Drosophila melanogaster: one gene and its partner. The protein of the gene in region 1 purifies or fractionates together with the protein of each later gene. This does not show direct contact. Each region holds a gene or a part of one and is shown on either strand. Other genes may lie near its edges.

Region 1 (6,107 bases):
TCGATTCCGTGTTATGCATGGGAGTTCGGTATCTAAGCGATCAGGACTTCCAAAGGATAATTGATATGATGCAGGAAATAGATCGAGCTTCGGTATACTATGATGACATTATATATGCCCTCCGGTGCACGCAGAGTCATCGGCATCTGTTATACTATCTGGAAGGTCTGATGGGTGAAAACTCCACCCATATGGTCCTTTCCGAATTCGAAGATTTGATGTATCTCCTCTACATATACAAGTCGAATCTGGCCTCTCGTCCGGTCATCTGGCAGTATATCGAGCGCAACTACAAGGTGCTCTGTCGAGCACCAAACTTTTTAGAGCACTTTAAACAGCTCGCTGGATTTGTGCCCAGACATCAGAGATCACATGTAATGAGTTTATATCTATTTCATATCCTACTCGTTTTGTTCACACATATCTCTTTTCAGTTTGAGAGGCTACGCCAGACAATTGCGAACCACATGATGCAGGAGGGTCTTAATACGAACCAAACGCTGATCGAGGTCGATTCTCCGCTGGTGGGCAAAAAGATGAAAATCACCGAAAATTTCCAGGACAAGTTCGAGCAGCAGATCCACAAATGGCTGCTCAATGAGCTTCCTCAGGCGACCAGCAGAAGTGATGCCCTTTTGTCCGCCTCCCTCAGCGCGGCCAATGGGTCAAGTCGTCCTCAAGGAGTCCTAAAGGAGGCGACTAGGGTGTTGCGCAGTGCGTTACGAATAGTAGATATGTATAGGTGACCAGACATTTGGTCTAACTAGGTATCACATAAGTACAGGCTTAATTACGAATAAATTAATTTTTTTCAAAACAAAACAATCGAGTCAATTCATTCAACAGCCAAGAGCTTTTCAACACATTCTAAATTAACTACAGACGTTATCGATTTGTCTGAAACGCCTCCGTGGGGAATTGATAAGCAAGTATAAAACACAAAAGTCATCGATAATAAAAACCCGATCAAATGACTATAACTTTTTTACGCAAAGACTAGTAATTATTTCTGGGTATTTCTGGCCATTAAAAAGCAATTTGAAAAATTTATAACAATTTTGGACATTCAATAAGTCGTATAAAAATATACAAAACTGAACAAAGCCATTACTTAAGTTTGTTAGTTTTTGTACAATGATTACTGAATATTAAAGCATACAAATTTGATATATTTAAAATGTAGCACCTCGTAAAATTAATTGATACTTATTAGCGTTTTTCACGAGTATTTATGACTGTTTTGATTATAGCACTATAACAACTTGCATTTTTTCGTACTTTCAAATACTTAGTCGTCCCAGACGAAGCCATAATTCAAAAATTTACTGCTCCTAATGATGAAACTAATAATAGGAATTTGATTAACAAAAAAGTAATGTTATCCTGCTTTATTTTGATAAGCGTTACGCTACTGAATAATTAAAATGTTACCGAGGGGATTTTTTACACTATAGAGTACCATCTTCAAAACTCTCGTAGACTAATTGTTTTACAGCCCAATCATACTTCACATTTGACTTGTCCCAGTGCACTCTGGGCCAATAACCGTGGCTTTGCCACGTTTTATCGAGAATTGCGCAACAATCTTTATGGCGATCGATGTTGAGGATTAGATATGGCCAAGTCCATAAAAATGCCGTGTTCAAGCGGCGGCCGCTCAATAACAAAGTGTCTTTTACCGAGCAGCCAACATGGCACGGTGGCTGCTTAACTCGTTTTCGCTGATCCTGCTCCTGGCAGTGTGCAGCCTACAGGCGCGCCTGATCCTTCCCTTATCCCTGGACGATGGACAGCTGGAGACCAAGGGAGCAGCCCTCTTTGCCACCTCCCGCGTGGATGATAATAGTGCCGGCAATTACCGACTGCCAAATACAACGGAACCGGAGTCCTACAACGTGGAACTCTGGACCAATGTCCATAATGGCGATACCGAATTCAATGGCACCGTCAATATCGATATCCGGGTTTTGAACGAGACATCGAATATTACGCTTCACTATCGCCAGACGTCGAATTTTGAAGCGACGATTATCAGCCGGGATGTGGCCACGCCCACGGCAATTCCACTCACTGTAACCCCCGAGTTGCAGCGCGAATTCCTCGTCCTTACGCAGACCACCGCTGGTGAGGCATTTGGAGCCAACACCAACTGGACCATCACCATCAACTACACTGGCATCCACCGATCTGATATGGGCGGTTTCTATATCTCCAGTTATACGGACGATGATGGCGAACAGCAGTAAGTTGATATTTTACGAAGACTATACAAAATAATACCATTATTTTATTATGAGCTTGCACAGCCTTTACCCTTTTACCTTTATAGAAAATTATACTTAGGTTAGCCTTCTAATGGATGAGGGAATAAATTGCAAAAGTACAAAAGCTTATCGTGCTATTAATTACAATTGTACCTGATTGAGTACTTGCGGCTAGTTTCATTTCTTATCAAGAGACACAATTTGGCTTATCTTTATAATCTGTTATTAGTACGATGATACGCGCTTACCAAATAAAGATTAATTATCGGTTTAACTGAGTCGTTAATGTATATAACAATTTCTTTCAGCTTCTTGGCCACCACGCAATTCGAGAGCACAAACGCCCGTCACGCGTTTCCCTGTTACGATGAGCCTGCCCGTAGAGCTAACTTTACGATTACCATCCACCATGATCCCTCCTACACTGCCATCAGCAATATGCCAGTAAACACCGCTGCCACCAGGTATGATTTACGAATATATATACAAGCATAGAGGAAACATTACTCATTCGCAGTGTTGACAATGCTAGATACAATTGCAATCGATACTTTTCATGTAAGAAATGCTAACATACTGACGGTTTCGCCTTCCAGCTCGGGAGTCACTGCTTTCCAGACGACGCCAAAGATGTCCACCTACCTGGTGGCCTTCATCGTCTCCGATTTTGAGTCCACCACCGGAGAACTGAATGGCATCCGCCAGCGGGTTTTCTCGCGCAAGGGAAAGCAGGATCAGCAGGAATGGGCCCTTTGGTCCGGATTGCTTGTGGAGTCCAGTCTGGCTAGCTACTTTGGGGTTCCCTTCGCCCTGCCCAAGCTAGATCAAGCTGGAATACCGGACTTCTCTGCCGGTGCCATGGAGAACTGGGGTCTGGCCACCTATCGTGAGCAGTACATGTGGTGGAACAAGCAGAACTCCACGATCAACCTGAAGACGAACATTGCCAATATTATTGGACACGAGTACGCGCACATGTGGTTCGGCGATTTGGTATCTATCAAATGGTGGACCTATCTGTGGCTCAAGGAGGGCTTTGCTACTCTCTTCTCGTACGAATCGAACGACATTGCTTTCCCACTGTGGGACACCTATCAGATCTTCCACGTGAACGACTACAACAGCGCTCTGCTTAACGACGCCCTGGCCTCGGCCGTTCCCATGACGCACTACGTTCAGACACCATCGGAGATCTCCAACAGGTATAACACCTTCTCGTACGCCAAGCCCGCCAGTGTTCTGTACATGTTCAAGAACGCTTGGACGGACAAGGTATTCCGCACTGGATTGAACAAATACCTGACCAAGAAGTGAGTACCAAGCCATTACTTAAATGACCTAATATATGAACTTCTAATGTATAGAGTATAGAATTTTGATTAATCAAAAGATCTAAAATATTTCAAGAACTTAAAAAGCTAACTTTATGATATACTCGTATATACTGGGCTTAAGAGCCCTCATTTTAATTTGAACAGTAATCTCACATTGGAATTATTTTGTTTCGCTCAGCCAATATACATCTTGCGACGAATGGGATCTATTTGCGTCCTTCCAGGAATCGGCCGACGAGCTGGGCTTTACGCTGCCCGCCAGTGTGGACGACATCTTCAGTAGCTGGTCCCACCAGGCTGGTTATCCCCTGCTCACAGTGACCCGTAATTACAATGCCGGCACTATAACGATCACCCAGAAGCGTTATGTGGCGAACAAAACTGATACAAATAGCGCAACTTGGTATGTGCCACTTAACTTTGCCACTGCCAACAAGTACGATTATCGTGACACGAGCGCCACACATTACTTGCTAAATGTGACGGAGACCGTGATCTCAGATGTCGAGGCTTCCAGCGATGACTGGATAATCGTGAATATCCAGAACTCCGGCTATTACCGCACCCTGTACGATACGCAGAACTATGGTCTAATTACGGCAGCTCTGAAGTCTCAGCCCTGGAGGTTCCATCCTCGTAACAGGGCACAACTGCTGTACGATACGTACATCTTTGTCAGCACCGATCGCCTGAGCCACAGCATCCTGCTGGAGCTGCTGGGTTACCTGACTAATGAGCAGCAGTATGCTCCTTGGTCCACTGCCAACACTATTCTGACCGTCTACGATCGTTACTTGCGTGGCGATGATTCTTACTACAACTTCCAAGATTTCGTGAAGCGCCTGATCGATCCCATCTTCGATAAAATCGGTGTAAACGAGATTCCCGGCGAGCATTATCTGAACAACTATCTGCGCATCGTGCTGGTCAGCTTGGCCTGCCAGGTGGGATCCGATGATTGCTATAACCAGTCGGCCAATAAATTATCCGAGTACCTATACAATGGCACAGCCATTGAGGCCACTCTAAAGACTCAAGCCTACTGTGCTGGTCTCCGATCGACTACCAATGAAATCTATAGCAGAGTGCAGTCCGATTTGCTCAGTTCCTCAGATTCCACCGATCGCAGCCTGTTCATCTCCTCGTTGGGCTGCTCTGGAAGTACGAGCCAGCTGCTTGATTTCTTGAGACTATCCCTGGACACCAACAATAGCTTGAGCTACTCGGAGCGCACTTCCCTTCTAAACTCGGCCTATTCCCGCAGTGAAATCGGTCTTACCGCTAGTTTGGAATTCCTGGAGAGCAACTGGGAGGCATATGCCAACCTTTCAGACTCTGCAAAGCCCCTGGATGCTGCCCTGCGTGGCATTGCCACCTATGTGGTCAGTGAGAAGCAAAAGACGAGGGTACGTTTTTTTTTTTTAATTTATAATTCAAAGCAGACTTTTAATTTACTATTTATTAATTATATGACAGCTTAACGCTTTGGTGGATGTTGTGGAGGCTGATGGACCGAGTTATATCAATGATGATCTGAGCACCACCATTGACTCCAGAATCACATCCAACTTCGCTTGGTTGGAAGTTAATCGTGATCCAGTGCTCAACTGGATCGAGGATTCCTTAAAAGAGAACGGCAGTCCCTCTCTGACCTCATCCATCACCACGATCCTGGTCAGTGCGATGGCTCTGTTGCTATTCAGGCTATATTAAGATAACTCACGTGGTCAAGTATTAAACATAAATTCAGTAAAGTGACGTAAATCAACAATAAAGATTGTGTGCTCATCATAGATCGAAAATAGAACTGATTATACTGTGGAATTTTCGGGCTGAATGGAGTCCCCTGGTGAGAAAAGTTCAAAGTTCCGCGGTTGGGAAACTTAACTGATCGGTTTATAGCTTGGTTGACACACATTTGCATTGGTCAATCTAATCGCGATTCTAGGAATGGCATCGATAAAGCACTGATAGTTGAGCTTAGTACGAAATTCGATTATCAAGTGGATATTTACAATGGCCTGAATGGTTTATGAAGTTCACGTGATCATATCAGATTGTGATTGGCAACTTTCAAGAACAATAAGCCATTTTATGGTTTTCAGTTTCTTAATCAATTTCAATGGTTTTACCATTTATTAGAAGATGTCTAGCTGTTGCATAGTATCGCACATATTGCTTAGTAATTCCGTATGGATTAATGGGCCTTTTCTTATCTCAAGAGCGAACTTGAACAGTCTATTATACCATAATAGTTAACAGGCGTGTATATTTCGCTATCATATCAGCACATATGATAAGTACACGAGAACTTCAGTTTCAATTATTATTGTTCAAGATCTTGTTTCGTATAGAAATTATTGCTGTTTTCATAATTAGATAATATGCTGTCATTCCTTTTCATTAATTATAGTAATAGTGTTAAATAATTTTTAGAGGTGAGAGAAACAATTCTTTTATAATCAGCTAAACAATCAGATCAAGGTCAGTGCACTTGAGATTTTTATCA
Region 2 (5,245 bases), on another chromosome or scaffold:
GGTTGGCCCACAACTAATGAATAGTTTGGAATGTTCTTTGGGGCGGAGGCATCATGTGTTTTCGAACCTGGCCGCAGAGTGCTTAAGCCAAAATGTAAAATTTAAGCCAGCGGGTAATTAACGCATACCCACAGCTCATTTTATGGACCAGACTTTCGCCCATAAAGCCAAACAGAAAGAGTGCTTGGCGCCTTTTACAAACTTGCGTGGTTTTTAAGACTTGTTGGTAAAAGTTTGGGTTTTTTCCTTTTTTTTTGTTCTGTTTCGCCGGTGAAAGCAGGCTCTGCACGTGTCCTGGCCTAAAGCTTTTGCTTTGGCCCATTTTCATTCTAATTCAATTCACACTGCCAAGTTCGCAGAAGCACACACTTTTCCACAATTTATAATTAATTAAAGCAAGTTTGTCTTTTGGGCTGGAATCTGGAGCACATTTGCCATGGCTGTCGTTGAATATTCAATGAAAAATTACATTGCTCGGATAAATGTTTGCGTGCAGTCAAGTGTTTTCTAGGAAAAGCCAACTTCAATATACTCTGCAATATATTACTATATTACATACATAAGTGGTATGCATGGTTTAAAAGAATCTACAAAAAATCGTATAAAATATTCTTGCCTAAGTTATTTCAAACAAAAATTCAATTGATGGTAGTCAAATTTGGCTTACATTGCTTACCGTACATAGTTCATAAACTGAAAAGATGGTGTATCTGCTGGAACATCGACATTAGCAAAACAAAGTCGAGCAGAAAAGTCATTTTCATGTTGTTATGGCCAGAGTGCAGAAATTGTGAAAATTCATCTTTTCAATTTTCGCCCGAAACCCGCACATTTATGCAAACTTGTTACGCTCGTTTTTGTTGCTGTCAATTTCACAGATTAATGCGCACACATTTCAACGCCAAAGTCGGCAGAAACATTTATTATTGACAATGGCCAAAAGTTTGGCCATTCGCTTTGCTTTTTGGCCAACATCGTTCATTTGGCCAGACGGCGTAGCGACAAAAATTGATTTACAGTATAGATATTTTAATCATCCAAGCTCTCTTGCCAGTTAGTTCTTAGTTACATTCAGCTACACACTGCCATTTCAAAAACCAAATTTATGGGCCATGTCGAAGGACGAGCCCTCTGCTCCAAGCCAAATTTATGGCCTCCCATTCGGCGATGGGCGGTTCTTTTTAAGGGGGCGTGGCAGCCTGTTGAGCAAGTATTCGGTGTTATTTCTATGCGAATAAGAAGCTTTTCCGGTGGCCTTCGGCTTGTTTACTTTGGGAGTTGTATTTCGCGTGGTCGCAAAAAGGTTTCTCGGATACTTTTTCGGCAAAGACAAAGAAATTCAATTTAAGCTTCCTACCCCGGAACTAATAACTCTTCAAAAAGTTGAAAACAATTAATTGGTTGTGGGTATACATTAGGCAGTGCAGTATTGAAAAAAAATCAGTATATGTATCTAACAAGCTCAATACAGTTTCACGTTTAACAACATTCAACTGAAAATCAACAATGGTATATTATTTTATGCAAGCAATTAAAAGTATTTCTCTTATCATTTTGCGGCTCAACAACTTTTGCGGTATTGCACTTTTTGCTTTTTCAGAAGCTATCGACTAAACCACAACGTTTGGATTTGTGAGAAAAAAGGCTCGACCATTGCAGTTTTGCGGTTGGGACTTGATAATGAATATTTTTAAAAATATTATTTTTATATTCGGACTGCTAGTTAGCTATAAAATGAGTTCGGCTTCCTGGGAAAATCACAGTTCTGCAACTGGCTTCGTTGAGTGAAGTTAAAAGTGTAGTTGAAAGTGTACATCCATAGAGAAAACCATGACTAACACGGATCTGAAAGCCTTGGAACTTATGTTCCAGCGACCCCTGGAACCGGCATTCACCACTCGTGACTCCGGAAAAACTGTATTGGAACTGCCCGATTCCTTCTATACGGATCGCTATCGCAATGACACCGAGGAGGTGGGCAATCGATTCTCTAAGGACGTGGATCTGAAGATCCCAATTCAGGAGTTGAGCAACGTTCCCAGTCTGGAGTTCACCAAAAAGATTGGTCTCAAGAATCAATTTTCGCTGTTTAACAATCGCCATCGTGAGATCGCCAGCGAGCTGATCACCCTCTTCATGAGCGCACCAAATCTCAGACAATTCGTGTCGCTTTCCGTTTACACCAAGTAAGTACTTGTACTAAAATAAATATATATGTATTGTATAATGTATTAATTTTTTAGGGATCGTGTGAATCCTGTGTTGTTCCAATACGCCTATGCCGTCGCCGTTGCCCATCGCCCGGATACGCGTGAAGTGCCCATTACCAACATTTCCCAGATCTTTCCGAGCAACTTTGTAGAACCTTCCGCCTTCCGGGTTCGTTTAAGTTCTTCTTTATTTGACCAATCAAAGTCTTTAATGGTGTATTTATAAATTTGACCACAGGATGCCCGTCAGGAAGCTTCTGTTATTGGAGAGAGCGGCGCTCGTGTCCATGTGGACATTCCGCAAAACTACACGGCCTCGGATCGCGAGGATGAACAGCGCCTGGCGTACTTCCGTGAGGACATCGGTGTTAATAGCCATCATTGGCACTGGCACTTGGTCTACCCGACCACCGGACCCACGGAGGTGGTCAACAAGGATCGTCGTGGCGAGCTCTTCTACTACATGCACCACCAGATACTCGCGCGCTACAATGTGGAGCGCTTCTGCAACAATCTGAAGAAGGTTCAGCCGCTGAACAATCTGCGTGTGGAGGTTCCCGAGGGCTACTTCCCCAAGATCCTGTCCAGCACGAATAACCGCACCTATCCCGCCCGAGTGACCAACCAAAAGCTGAGGGACGTGGACCGCCATGATGGGCGTGTGGAGATCTCCGATGTGGAGCGCTGGCGTGATCGCGTGCTGGCTGCCATAGATCAAGGATACGTTGAAGATGTGAGTTGGGCCCGTTTGGAATATTGAGCATAGGTCATAGAAAGCACTAGAAATTTTTATTTGCTAATCCATAGTCTTCTGGCAATCGTATACCATTGGACGAAGTTCGTGGCATCGATATCCTGGGCAACATGATTGAGGCATCGCCAGTCCTATCCATCAACTATAATTTCTATGGCAATCTACACAACGAGGGGCACAACATAATCTCCTTTGCCCACGATCCCGATTACCGTCACTTGGAGGAATTCGGTGTGATGGGCGATGTGACCACGGCCATGAGGGATCCAATCTTCTACAGGTGGCACGGATTCATCGACACGGTGTTCAACAAATTCAAGACTCGCCTGAACCCGTACAATGCCGGTGAGCTTAACTTCGATGGTATTACCGTGGACTACATTGAGGCCAAGATTGGCAAGTCCAATACCAAGGCCAACACCCTGTTGACCTACTGGCAGAAGTCGAGTGCCGACTTGGCAGCTGGCCTGGACTTTGGACCAACGACCGATCGCAACATATTCGCCTCGTTCACCCATCTCCAGAATGCCCCCTTCACTTATACATTCAATGTGACCAATAATGGAGCCAGACGAACGGGTACTTGCCGTATCTTCATCTGCCCCAAGGTGGATGAGCGTAATCAGGCTTTGAATCTGGAGGAGCAGCGACTGTTGGCCATCGAAATGGACAAGTTCACAGTTGATTGTGAGTAATAACTGTATTTCTTAGTATATATATTTATTTAATATTTTGGTATTTAAAAAGTGTTTCTTTCGTACAAAGCTAGCCAGTGATTTTAGCTTATACTTTTCCCTACTGACAACCTCCTACGATCTATTAACATACTTTAATTAATCCCCAGTGGTGCCTGGTGAGAACACCATACGCCGCCAGTCGACAGAGTCCTCGGTGGCCATTCCCTTCGAGCGCTCATTCCGCCCGGTTGGAGCAGACTATCAGCCCAAGGCCGCCGATGAGTTGGCACGCTTCAAGTTTTGCGGATGTGGGTGGCCACAGCATCTCCTGCTGCCCAAGGGCAATGCCCAGGGAATGGTCTTCGACCTGTTCGTCATGATTTCCGATTACTCGCAGGACTCCGTTGAGCAGCCCAAAACGTGAGTGCTATAAACCCAATTTCCCATCATCAGCTGACATTCTCCTTGTCGCCCATTAGACCCAACGATGCCTGCAGCACGGCGTACTCGTTCTGTGGTCTGAAGGACAAATTGTATCCTGACAGACGCACCATGGGCTATCCCTTCGATAGGCGCCTGCCCAATGCCAATCTCACCGAATTGGTCGGTGCCTTTGGCAACATGGCCAAGACCGATTTAAGGATTGTCTTCAATGATCGTGTGATTGACAAGGCCTAGATGATTGCTCCAACTAACAGAGATGATTTTAAGAATCAATGGAAACGGACTTGAAAACGGAAAACTCTTGGAATCATATACACTTTTTGCTATTAACTTATAACTAACCAAACTTGTGCGCGTTTATGTGGTGTTTTATCGTTTCTAATTACACTCTACAAAAATAAATGTATTGTAATATGTGCAGGCAGTAATACAAGCGAGTATTGACACCTAATGAATGCAGTGGGTAGATAGCTTTAGCCAAGAAACTTTTGGTAAGCTTATAATGTATCTAATAGTCCCAATTTACCACCCGGGGAGACCAAAGAATTTTACAGATTTTTATTTATTACTTTTTCAAGGCAAAACAGAGATTACTCGTTTTCGTTGGCCTCAAGCAAGCCAGCCATGGATATGATAAATATTTACTGATATAAGAAATCCTCGTCTAGGAATATTCGCATGCCAAATATTTGCTTAGCAATATTGAATATTATTTATAGCAAAGAAATACAGATACACAGCCGCAGAAGGGCGTTTATTTGTCATAGACAGACACGCCCACATTTGTGCGAACTAATCCTATTAGACTTCAAAGCGCCTTGCTCGACAAACTTTGCGATTGCCCATGTCCAGGAGGCCTTGGCGTTCCATCCACCCACCAAGTGTTGAGGGAAAATAGAAAAAACATCCTCGCAAAACAGCCAACAAAATCGCTGCACGTGTTGCGTTTATTAATTTTTGGCTTTTACCAAGTCGACGGCCTTAATTAAGCATCCACTAGATGTGGATAAAGTTCAAGACTTTGGATTAGCGCAGCACAACAGCTGTCTCAAACAAATTGATTTTTAATAGATTTTTATGGCTGCCTTATCTGGCGCCACATGACGTATACGTGATGAAATTGAGTTTCCGACTGCAATCATCAGAGGTGGAAGGCATGT

Evidence for each region.
Region 2: the proteins of CG31343 (region 1) and PPO1 purify together in Drosophila melanogaster (affinity purification with mass spectrometry, with the first as the bait; one large-scale study listed by BioGRID). This does not show direct contact.

The regions. Positions count from the first base shown.
Region 1 is NT_033777.3:21,743,614-21,749,720, forward strand, and holds CG31343 (uncharacterized protein), read left to right. Parts: upstream 1-1,652; 5' UTR 1,653-1,691; coding exon 1,692-2,242; intron 2,243-2,572; coding exon 2,573-2,728; intron 2,729-2,860; coding exon 2,861-3,574; intron 3,575-3,776; coding exon 3,777-5,004; intron 5,005-5,074; coding exon 5,075-5,311; 3' UTR 5,312-5,390; downstream 5,391-6,107. Other genes in the region: CG5849 (uncharacterized protein), read left to right, coding at 1-374, 435-746.
Region 2 is NT_033778.4:17,886,486-17,891,730, reverse strand, and holds PPO1 (prophenoloxidase 1), read left to right. Parts: upstream 1-1,757; 5' UTR 1,758-1,830; coding exon 1,831-2,186; intron 2,187-2,243; coding exon 2,244-2,379; intron 2,380-2,448; coding exon 2,449-2,943; intron 2,944-3,017; coding exon 3,018-3,651; intron 3,652-3,808; coding exon 3,809-4,061; intron 4,062-4,120; coding exon 4,121-4,319; 3' UTR 4,320-4,511; downstream 4,512-5,245.